2 linked regions of the Mus musculus genome follow. The protein of the gene in region 1 interacts with the protein of each later gene in a pairwise test. Links are inferred from orthologs where the notes say so. Each region holds a gene or a part of one and is shown on either strand. Other genes may lie near its edges. The genes, in order: Tmem79 and Tnmd.

Evidence for each region.
Region 2: the proteins of Tmem79 (region 1) and Tnmd interact in binary tests that used the Homo sapiens proteins (3 or more experiments, as listed by UniProt). The two-hybrid records come from large-scale screens. The link is inferred for Mus musculus from reciprocal best matches to the Homo sapiens genes TMEM79 and TNMD.

What each region holds. Positions count from the first base shown.
Region 1 is NC_000069.6:88,331,362-88,335,763, reverse strand, and holds the start of Tmem79 (transmembrane protein 79), read left to right. Parts: upstream 1-1,330; 5' UTR 1,331-1,382; intron 1,383-1,434; exon of another isoform or gene 1,435-1,656; intron 1,657-2,081; 5' UTR 2,082-2,124; coding exon 2,125-2,872; intron 2,873-3,110; coding exon 3,111-3,324; intron 3,325-4,402.
Region 2 is NC_000086.7:133,849,772-133,854,105, reverse strand, and holds the start of Tnmd (tenomodulin), read right to left. Parts: upstream 3,099-4,334; 5' UTR 2,900-3,098; coding exon 2,852-2,899; intron 2,685-2,851; coding exon 2,553-2,684; intron 1-2,552. UniProt on the Homo sapiens protein: May be an angiogenesis inhibitor.

The sequences.
Region 1 (4,402 bases):
ATGGGACAGCTAGGTGCTGGAGAAGTGACTACCCACATGGCAGCTCACAACCATCTGAAACTCCAGCTCCAGGGGGTCCGAAACCCTCATACAGACATGTTTAGAGGCAAAACGCCAAAGTGCATAAAATAATAAAACGAATGGGCCAGCTATCATTGAATCAGACATCGTTGCAGAAGAGGGGCAGCGAAAAGATTTTAAGATCCGGAGGTTGTGGAGATCGGCATGCACAAGGTCAAGTCAGCTGCCAAAATCCCAGCGCGCCTGAGGGGTGGCTCCTGAAGTTGCTTGTTTTTTAAAGGAATTCTTCCCGAGAGAGTTATTTATTTATATTTTGTGGGTGCATGCATACAACATACACGTGGCCAGAGAACTTGGGAGAGTCAGTTTTCTTTTAAAAGTGTGGTTCTCTGGGGAATCAGACTCAGGTAGTCAGGCTTGGTGAGCCATCTTGTCAGCCCTATTGTTTTCCTAACTATAAGGCGGATCTTTGGGGTTCTCTCTCTCTCTCTCTCTCCACATTATAATGGCAATGTATATACCACTATGCTCCTGGCTCCAGCCACCAAGTCTCCTTTCTATTCCTCAAACTGCCTCAAGTCTTTTTCCATCTGTTGGCTGCGCTGTTCCTCTACAGGGAACTTCCACTGGGTTTCAGCTTCAGTCACCCTAAAGAGGCTCTCACTACTGAAATTCTACTACTGATTTGGTGTGAACTTTAATGTTGGTTACCTGAACAGCTAGAAACCTTGTCACTTTGTTCTTTTCTGTACATGTGCCTAGACTAGCACTTTTTTTGTTTGTTGGAGTGTGTGTGTGTGTGTGTGTGTGTGTGTGTGTGTGAGAGAGAGAGAGAGAGAGAGAGAGAGAGTCTCTACATAACTCTGGCTGCTGGACCAGCCTGGCTTCAGACTCAGAAATCTGCCTGCCTCTGCCTCATGTGCTGGGATTAAAGGCTTGTACCACCACAGAAATAGCGCCTCATTAATAATAGATACCCAATAAACATTTACTGGATGAACAAACTTGCAGTGTCATCTTTTAGCCAATTTACTCTGAGCACCCTTTGATACACAAACCCACTTTTATACCCTGATGCTTCCCTGAGCTGGAAGCTCTTACAGATCCCAGAATACATTAAGTCCACACCTCTGTGCCCAGCTGCACCCTTACTTTCAAAAAGGATGACGTCCTCCTGTAGAGTCCTTCCAGTAGGCAGATTCTGTAGGGCAGGGCCTGCGCCTTTAATCTGGGCCCCACCCGCTCTGGTCAGACAGGTTTGGAGACACAGGCAAGGGAGGGAAACTGGGAAATACTTGCAGAGCCAGCCAGGAGCTAGGCAGCTCCTTTCCGGAGATCCTCCGCCTCTTTGCAGATGGAAAGTAAGAGGGTATCATGGATCCAAAGGGCAGGGGTAGGAGGGGCCCAAGAGGTGAACGAAGGGAGCCCAATCCAGAAGCTGTGAGCTGGAGGGTGGCAGGGGAGGAAACAAGAGGAAGGCTTGGGAACGGCCACACTAGAGCTGGGAGTCTGAGTGGAGCCCAGCCCAGCTGAATCGGGTGAGACTGGCAATGGGAGAGTTCAGAAAATGACCGACTCCTGGAATGGAGACTGAGGAACCGAGATCTGGTGTCGAGTTCCTGGAGGGACCTGCAGGTCAAAGGGCAGGTGGAAGGAAGGGGGAAGGGCCAATTTCTCTATCTATAGGGTGACCCTTGGCTGTAGAGAAACTCCGCCTAGTCCTAGACACCTCAGCCTCCCATTCCAAAGCCAGGGTGGCCAAAAATCCGGGAGTTTTAGTGGAGAGAGTAGAAGGCAGGTGTGGGTATAGACAGGCCACACCTGCCTCTGCTTGTGCCCCCTGACTCACCCTTGTCCTGCTGGATGACATTTATTTTGAAAGGGATCCTCCATTTCGCTCCTCTGCTGCCCGCCCGCCTCTCTGTTTCAACACCTTCCTCCCCACAGTGTTCTCCCTAGAGTCCCATGAGGCCAGCTTCTCTGGGGAGTTCTAGGTCTGAGAAACTGTCCTGGGGCCAGAAGACTAGGTATTCTCACAGAACTTCTCCCACTGCCTATAGGATGACATCGTTCTGTGGTAGCCCTCGGAACTGAAGCCTCACAATGACAGAACCGGAGACACTGGCCCTGCTGGACATGAAGGAACCCGAGACTCCAGAGAAGAGCCCACCGCAGGCTTTAGTCCTGCAGTCAGAGGAAGAAGGTGGGACTGAGTCCCCTGGAACTGAGTCGCTCAGAGTGGGGTCTTCAGTAGGGTCTCCTATAGTCAGAGAGGGGCCTGAGGATGGTCCAGACAGCACAATAAGTGAGGCTGCCACTTTACCCTGGGGAACTGACCCCCATCCTAGCGCCCCACTTCCGGATCCCCCGGGCTGGCGAGATATTGAACCAGAGCCCCTAGAGTCAGAGGCACCTACTAAGTCGGAGGAGCCATTCAAAGAGGATGCCAACCTGCTCCCCGAGAAGACAGTTAGGGCCTTCGTGCCCATTGATCTACAGTGCATCGAGCGGAAGCCACAGGAGGAGCGCATCCTGCATCGCGACGCTGGACCAGGCGAGCTCAGGAATTTCCTGCCAGCTCGACTCAGCCACCCTGAGCCCCCAGAGCGCAAGTGGGCTGAGGCCGTGGTGAGACCCCCTGGCCGGTCCTGCGGGGGCTGTGGAAGCTGTGGAGGTCGTGAGGCACTGAGAGCTGTCGCCTCGGTGGTGGCGGCCCTCATCTTCTTCCCCTGTCTGCTGTACGGAGCATACGCCTTCCTGCCTTTCGATGCCCCGAGGCTGCCCACCATGAGCTCCCGCTTGGTTTACACCCTTCGCTGTGGGGTCTTTGCCACCTTTCCCATCGTACTCGGTGAGTCTGGCCCCGTGGAGAAGGGCTACCTGGGAAGTGGATTACAGAGCTTTCGACTGGGTGGTTTCTCTTCATTCTGCTGGAACCACTCAGGGTATCCTGAACCTGCCACTCTCTGTCCTCTCCTCCAGGGAGCTCTTGTGTCCACTCTGTAGCCCCGACCCAAAGAGCTATCTTCTGGGAAACCCATCCCAACCTTCCTGCCTTTTCTGATCCCATGTGCTTACCCTCTTGATAGGGCTCCTTGTGTACGGGCTGAGCCTATTGTGCTTTTCTGCGCTTCGGCCCTTCGGCGAGCCGAGGCGGGAAGTGGAGATCCACCGGCAGTACGTGGCCCAGTCTGTGCAGCTCTTCATCCTCTACTTCTTTAACCTGGCTGTGCTTTCCACCTATCTGCCCCAGGACACCCTCAAGCTGCTCCCGCTGCTCACCGGTCTCTTTGCCATATCTCGGTGAGTCGGGCGGGGGCTGGGGTGGCCATGGCTGGGGTAGGCATGAGGAAGACATGATTCCAGATCCTCCAGGGAGCTGAAGGTCTGCAAACCTGAGGTCGGGGATGGGAGTCGGGGTGGGGTGTTTCTGGATGTGCACCAGGCAGTGATGAGCTTGCTGTCTGTTGAGCTACACTGGGTAGCAGTTGGTCTCAGAGCCATGGCAATGGGGAGCTTTTGACTTTTTTTTAGTATAGTGTTGAATCCATTGCCTTGCGTACTCTAACCTCATTTGTCATTTAGTGTGTTCACTGAAGCTACTTTACTCTGAAACTCTCCATCCAAATAGCTTTAAGAATTGGCCTCTAACTGGGCGTGGTGGTGCACGCCTTTAATCCCAGAATTTGGGAGACAGAGGCAGGCGGATTTCTTAGTTCGAGGCCAGCCTGGTCTACAGAGTGAGTTCCAGGACAGCCAGGGCTACACGGAGAAACCCTGTCTCGAAACAAACAATCAAAAAAAAAAAAAAAAAGAAAGAAAAGAAAGGAAAGAAGGAAGGGAGGGAGGGAGGGAGGGAGGGAGGGAGGGAGGGAGGGAGAGAGAGAGAGAGAGAGAGAGAGAGAGAGAGAGAGAGAGAGAGAAAGAAAGAGGGGCTGGTGAGATGGCTCAGTGGGTAAGAGCACCTGACTGCTCTTCCGAAGGTCCAGAGTTCAAATCCCAGCAACCACATGGTGTCTCACAACCATCCTAACGAGATCTGGTGCCCTCTTTTGGAGTGACTGAAGACAGCTACAGTGTAGTTACATATAATAAATAAATAAATCTTTAAAGAGAAAGAAAGAAAGAAAGAAAGAAAGAAAGAAAGAAAGAAAGAAAGAAAGAAAGAAAGAAAGAAAGAGAGAAAGAGAAGTGAATGGATTGCCCCTACCCTGACCTTCGTGAGGCCAGTTCCTGCACTTAAACAGCCCCCTCTAGTGGCTGAATGGCTCTGATACCATTGCTCTCTGGGTGCGAGTAGAGCCTTGGTTAAGAGCACTGGCCTCTCCATCCAGAGGCCAGTTAACTCTCACTGAGGTCTCCTTCCCCTACCCCCATCCCC
Region 2 (4,334 bases), on another chromosome or scaffold:
CAGTGGCTCACTCAGAGTTGAGCCTCCTTTAATTTTGACTCATTTCCCTCCTGGATAAGTGTGTGTGTGTGTGTGTGTGTGTGTGTGTGTGTGTGTGCGCGAGCGCTCGAGTGCATGTGTGAACTCACATGCATGATTGAGGTATACTAGGAGTCTAATACTGCTTATGCCTTTTTGAGATCAGGAGTCTGGAGCTTTTGTGCATAGGAAAGTGGGAGGAAAGAGAAAGACTTAGTAGCATGGAAATGTCAACACCAGATGTAGGCTGTTAAATAAACACTGTTTATTATAAACAGATGTTGAAAGAGAAAACAAGAAGGAGTGTTGTGGGGGCTGCAAGAGCAAACACTGAGATCCCAGAGACAGCTCCAGCACAATGAAGGTATCACTCCTCCATTGAACAGACAAGCATCAAGAGTTATCTCTACCAAAAGCCACACAAGCCTCCCAAATCCCACAGGCAGCTAAAGGCAAGTCCAGAAGACCAAGGATTTTACTTTGCTAATCAGCCTTTCATTCCAGCTCATACTCTTAAGCAGAGAGTCTTAAATTTGTACAAGACACTTGGATCATTTTTCCTCTGGAAATATTCTTCCCAGACTAATAGGACTGCTTTTATTTTCTCTGGATTCGTAACTGCTCAGATGCAGGTCTAGTCAGAGTCTTGGTCACTAGGAGGTACATGGCTAGCCTCCCAAGTTCCTTGCCTGGGACTTAGAAGGTATTAGTTAAGTGAATAAAGAATCCATGCTGCTACCTGCTCTCTTGATTTAAAGTGATCCCAACCTGATTTTGTAGTGAAGGCCAGGACTTAGATAAGAAAAATAGTTTATTGCAATTCCTCATTGGAATAGAAAACAAGTAGTACTTATTCGTGGTAGAAAAGCTTATCCTAAGAGATACATAATGTATTTTATCTGCACTTCTTCATAATAACTTTGGTCCCTCATTTACACTCCTTTTGGTGAAAATTATGTATCCTAAGATGAATTACTTTAAGAGGGCTTTGATTTTTTCTTTTTAAATAAACTTTAATCAGTAGCACACCCCACCTTTTTTCATGCATGCACGACCTGAGTTTTATGTTTGGTTTCAGGAATGACAGAATTACTTTTTGGAAATCATATTTAAGAGAACTGGAATTGGAAACAAAGGTAGCATAATTGGAAGACAGGGGAGATCATGAACTCAGCTAGGGAGTGTGAATTCTTACAAGATAAAGGCAAGATCTCCTGAGTCACTCCCTAGGCATTTATTATCGCACTGAGGAAAATGCCATTGTAAGATTTAAAAACACATTAATACTGTTAGAATGCCATTTATACTGCCAATGAATACAAGAAAGTAAGAAAGACTATGTGTTCCCTGTTCAGACAGGCATCTATGAATGGTAAAGAAGATTAGCCACCTACCACATCCAGTGAAGGCTATACTTTCAGCAACAAAAATGATTTATGGTCCTGTATATAATTATGGTCCTTATCCAATTTCCAAGAGAATCACTGATTTAACTTTTGGGGTCACATATCACTTAAGGAATTAGCTAAGTGGTACTGTAAGGAAGTCATTGTGCTGGAATGAATGTTGGCTCTTGAGTCATTTTCTGATGGTGGTTTCTTTGCCCACCTTGCTAGCCTTAACATAGTTGGCTTCCCTAGAAAGACAGCTGCACAGTAAACAGTTCAAAAGCAGCAGGGCAGTGGGGGTGGGCTAATAGGAGTAGGTGATGCCTGAAAACCTTTCTGGAACATGATGTAAATAAAAGGGAAACAAATAAGTAGGCTTGTTTGCTCTCCCTCCCACTTAAACTTTATAAGGTATCCTTTGAGACTAAATGCAAACAGGTATTGCAGCAGAGGTAGCTGATCCCAGGGTGGCTATGCCTTACTTTTTGTGCTTTCAGTTGGATTTCTAGCCAGCTTATTTTATTTCTCTCCCCCTTTGTCTGCCTTTCCCACATGAACTCTTTGCTCCTATTGCTCCTTTGGCTCCTAATGGTCCATGCCAAACCATTTTCTTCTTGTCTCATTTTCCTTCCAGGATCTGTGTCTTTTCTTTCCCACATTTGCTACCAAGTAGAAATGAGTATCTCATGGCAAAAACAAAAACAAAAACAAAAACAAAAAACAACAACAACAACAACAACAACAAAAAACTATAACACCTGCAGGAGCTGCAGCAACAACAGTGACCTACAAATAGAGAAGAATATGGCAAAGCCAGAAACCTGTCTTCATGGGTTGTAGCTCATCTCATTTTCATTCAAATGTTAATTGTTAGCAAGAAAAAAAGCTTCCAGGAGATTTAACTCCTTAAAGTCAACCATAAAGGAATGGGTACATTTATCTACTGTCATTACTAACCAAAATGTAGAATACAATTTTAACCTCACCTAAATAAGCAAATGAAAGGAAAACTTTGATTTTATTTTCCTATGCCCCCAAATGAATAAAAAAGGATGAAAAGAGTTTTCAAATTAATTTCCATGTTAATCCCTAATTAAATACAATCAAATTCAGAAAAGAAACACCGGATAAGTTTCTGTTACTTACTTTCTTGGATACCTCGGGCCAGAAGTGTTTGCTCCCCCAAAACAGGACAATTAGAGTTAAGGCCAGGATACCAAACACTAGTCCACAAATCTTCAGTGATTTACATATCTTCTTAGATTTCAGAGCTTCTGCCTAAGCAAAGAACAGAAAGGATGAAACAATGTACAATAACCCTCAAAATAGCAAGCCATAATTCAAAGTCTCCTTCAATTTCACTTTCTAATGTTCACTTTGCAATACGATAAATCTGCAAAATCGTGCTCCTGCTCAAAAGGGAAAAAATATATGAATCAACTTACATTTAGAATGTGACAGCCCTCACAGTTCTCTGGAGGATTCTTTGCCATGGTCTCCCAGCACACGGTGCTCTTTCCCTGCTTTGAGAGGACTGAGAGGACTACTGCTGAGGTGGAGTTGCAAGTGAGTCGGCTACCAGATGCCGGAGGAGAAGCTGAATTTATATGGCTCAAATATGTCATACCAGAGCCGGAGGGAGCCCAGGGGGCTCCCGTGCTACGATTTGTTACATAGATATACCCATATATGTATATAACTTCTGTGCACAGAATTCCATCCAGAATGGCAAAGACAGAAGGTTATAATGAAAACTATTGTCTTGGGGGTTGGGTTGGAAGGGGATCAAGCCTAGGACACACTGAAATGATTTTTCACTATGAACTTAAAAATACCAGTGGCAATACATGCTGCACACTCCAGAAGTAAGCAAACAGAGCAGAAAAAAGGGGGACGACGACAAAGGTCTAATTTGATTTCCATGTAATTAAACAAGTATTTATTGTAGGAATATTAAGTATCAGGTACTTTCCTGAGTGCTAGAGAGTCAGAGATGAATAAGTTAGCATGTCTCCCTATGTAAAAGTATTCTGAATGCCAAGACCAAAGTATATTTGACTAATTATAATTGAAACCAGGATAAAATGAAGAGCAATTGTCAGCTTTTTCTCTTCATTCCATCTCTATGATGAATTTTCTATCCTTTAGTTGGTCCCTCAATGCTGGTATTTGTTATATTTCTTCATGCTTTTGTCACTTTAGCATATATGCTTAAATGATATTATCCAGTCCTGGAGTTAATATATCACTTATATAGCAATGCAACTCGATTCTGTGCCTGTAACCCAGTTCTGTCTTTACTTTCAAAGCCATTTGAACATCTCGAGCATCTGTACCCGGATGTAACTCAGAAATCGCAAACTCAGTATGTTACCTATCAAACTCTTTCCTTTTTAACACTTCCTTCCTCCAGCTTGCTTTCTTTTTACTAATCCTAATCTTGATTGGTGATTACAGTTAGTGTTTGGGATACCATAACAAAGCACTGCAGAATTATTGACTTGCATATAAAAACTCTACTCCTTGAAAAAAAAAACAGTCCTTACATTTCTGGAGGCTATAGTACATGATCAAGATGTCATCTAGGCTGCTTGCTTCTTTCCTTCCTTCCTTCCTCCCTCCCTCCCTCCCTCCCTCCCTCCCTCCCTCCCTCCCTCCCTCCCTCCCTCCTTCCTTCCTTCCTTCCTTCCTTCCTTCCTTTCTCCTCCCTTCCTTTCCCCTCCCTCCCTCCCTCCCTCCCTCCCTCCCTCCCTCCCTCCCTCCTTCCCTCTCTCCCTTCCCTTCTTCCCTCCATCCCTTCCTTCCTCCCTTTCTTCTTTCTCCTTCCTTCCTTTCTTTCATACATTTTATTTAGATTTTTAGTAATTTTACCTTTATTGAAAATAAAGTTATTTTCATAGACTATATTTAGATCTCACTTTCCTTCCT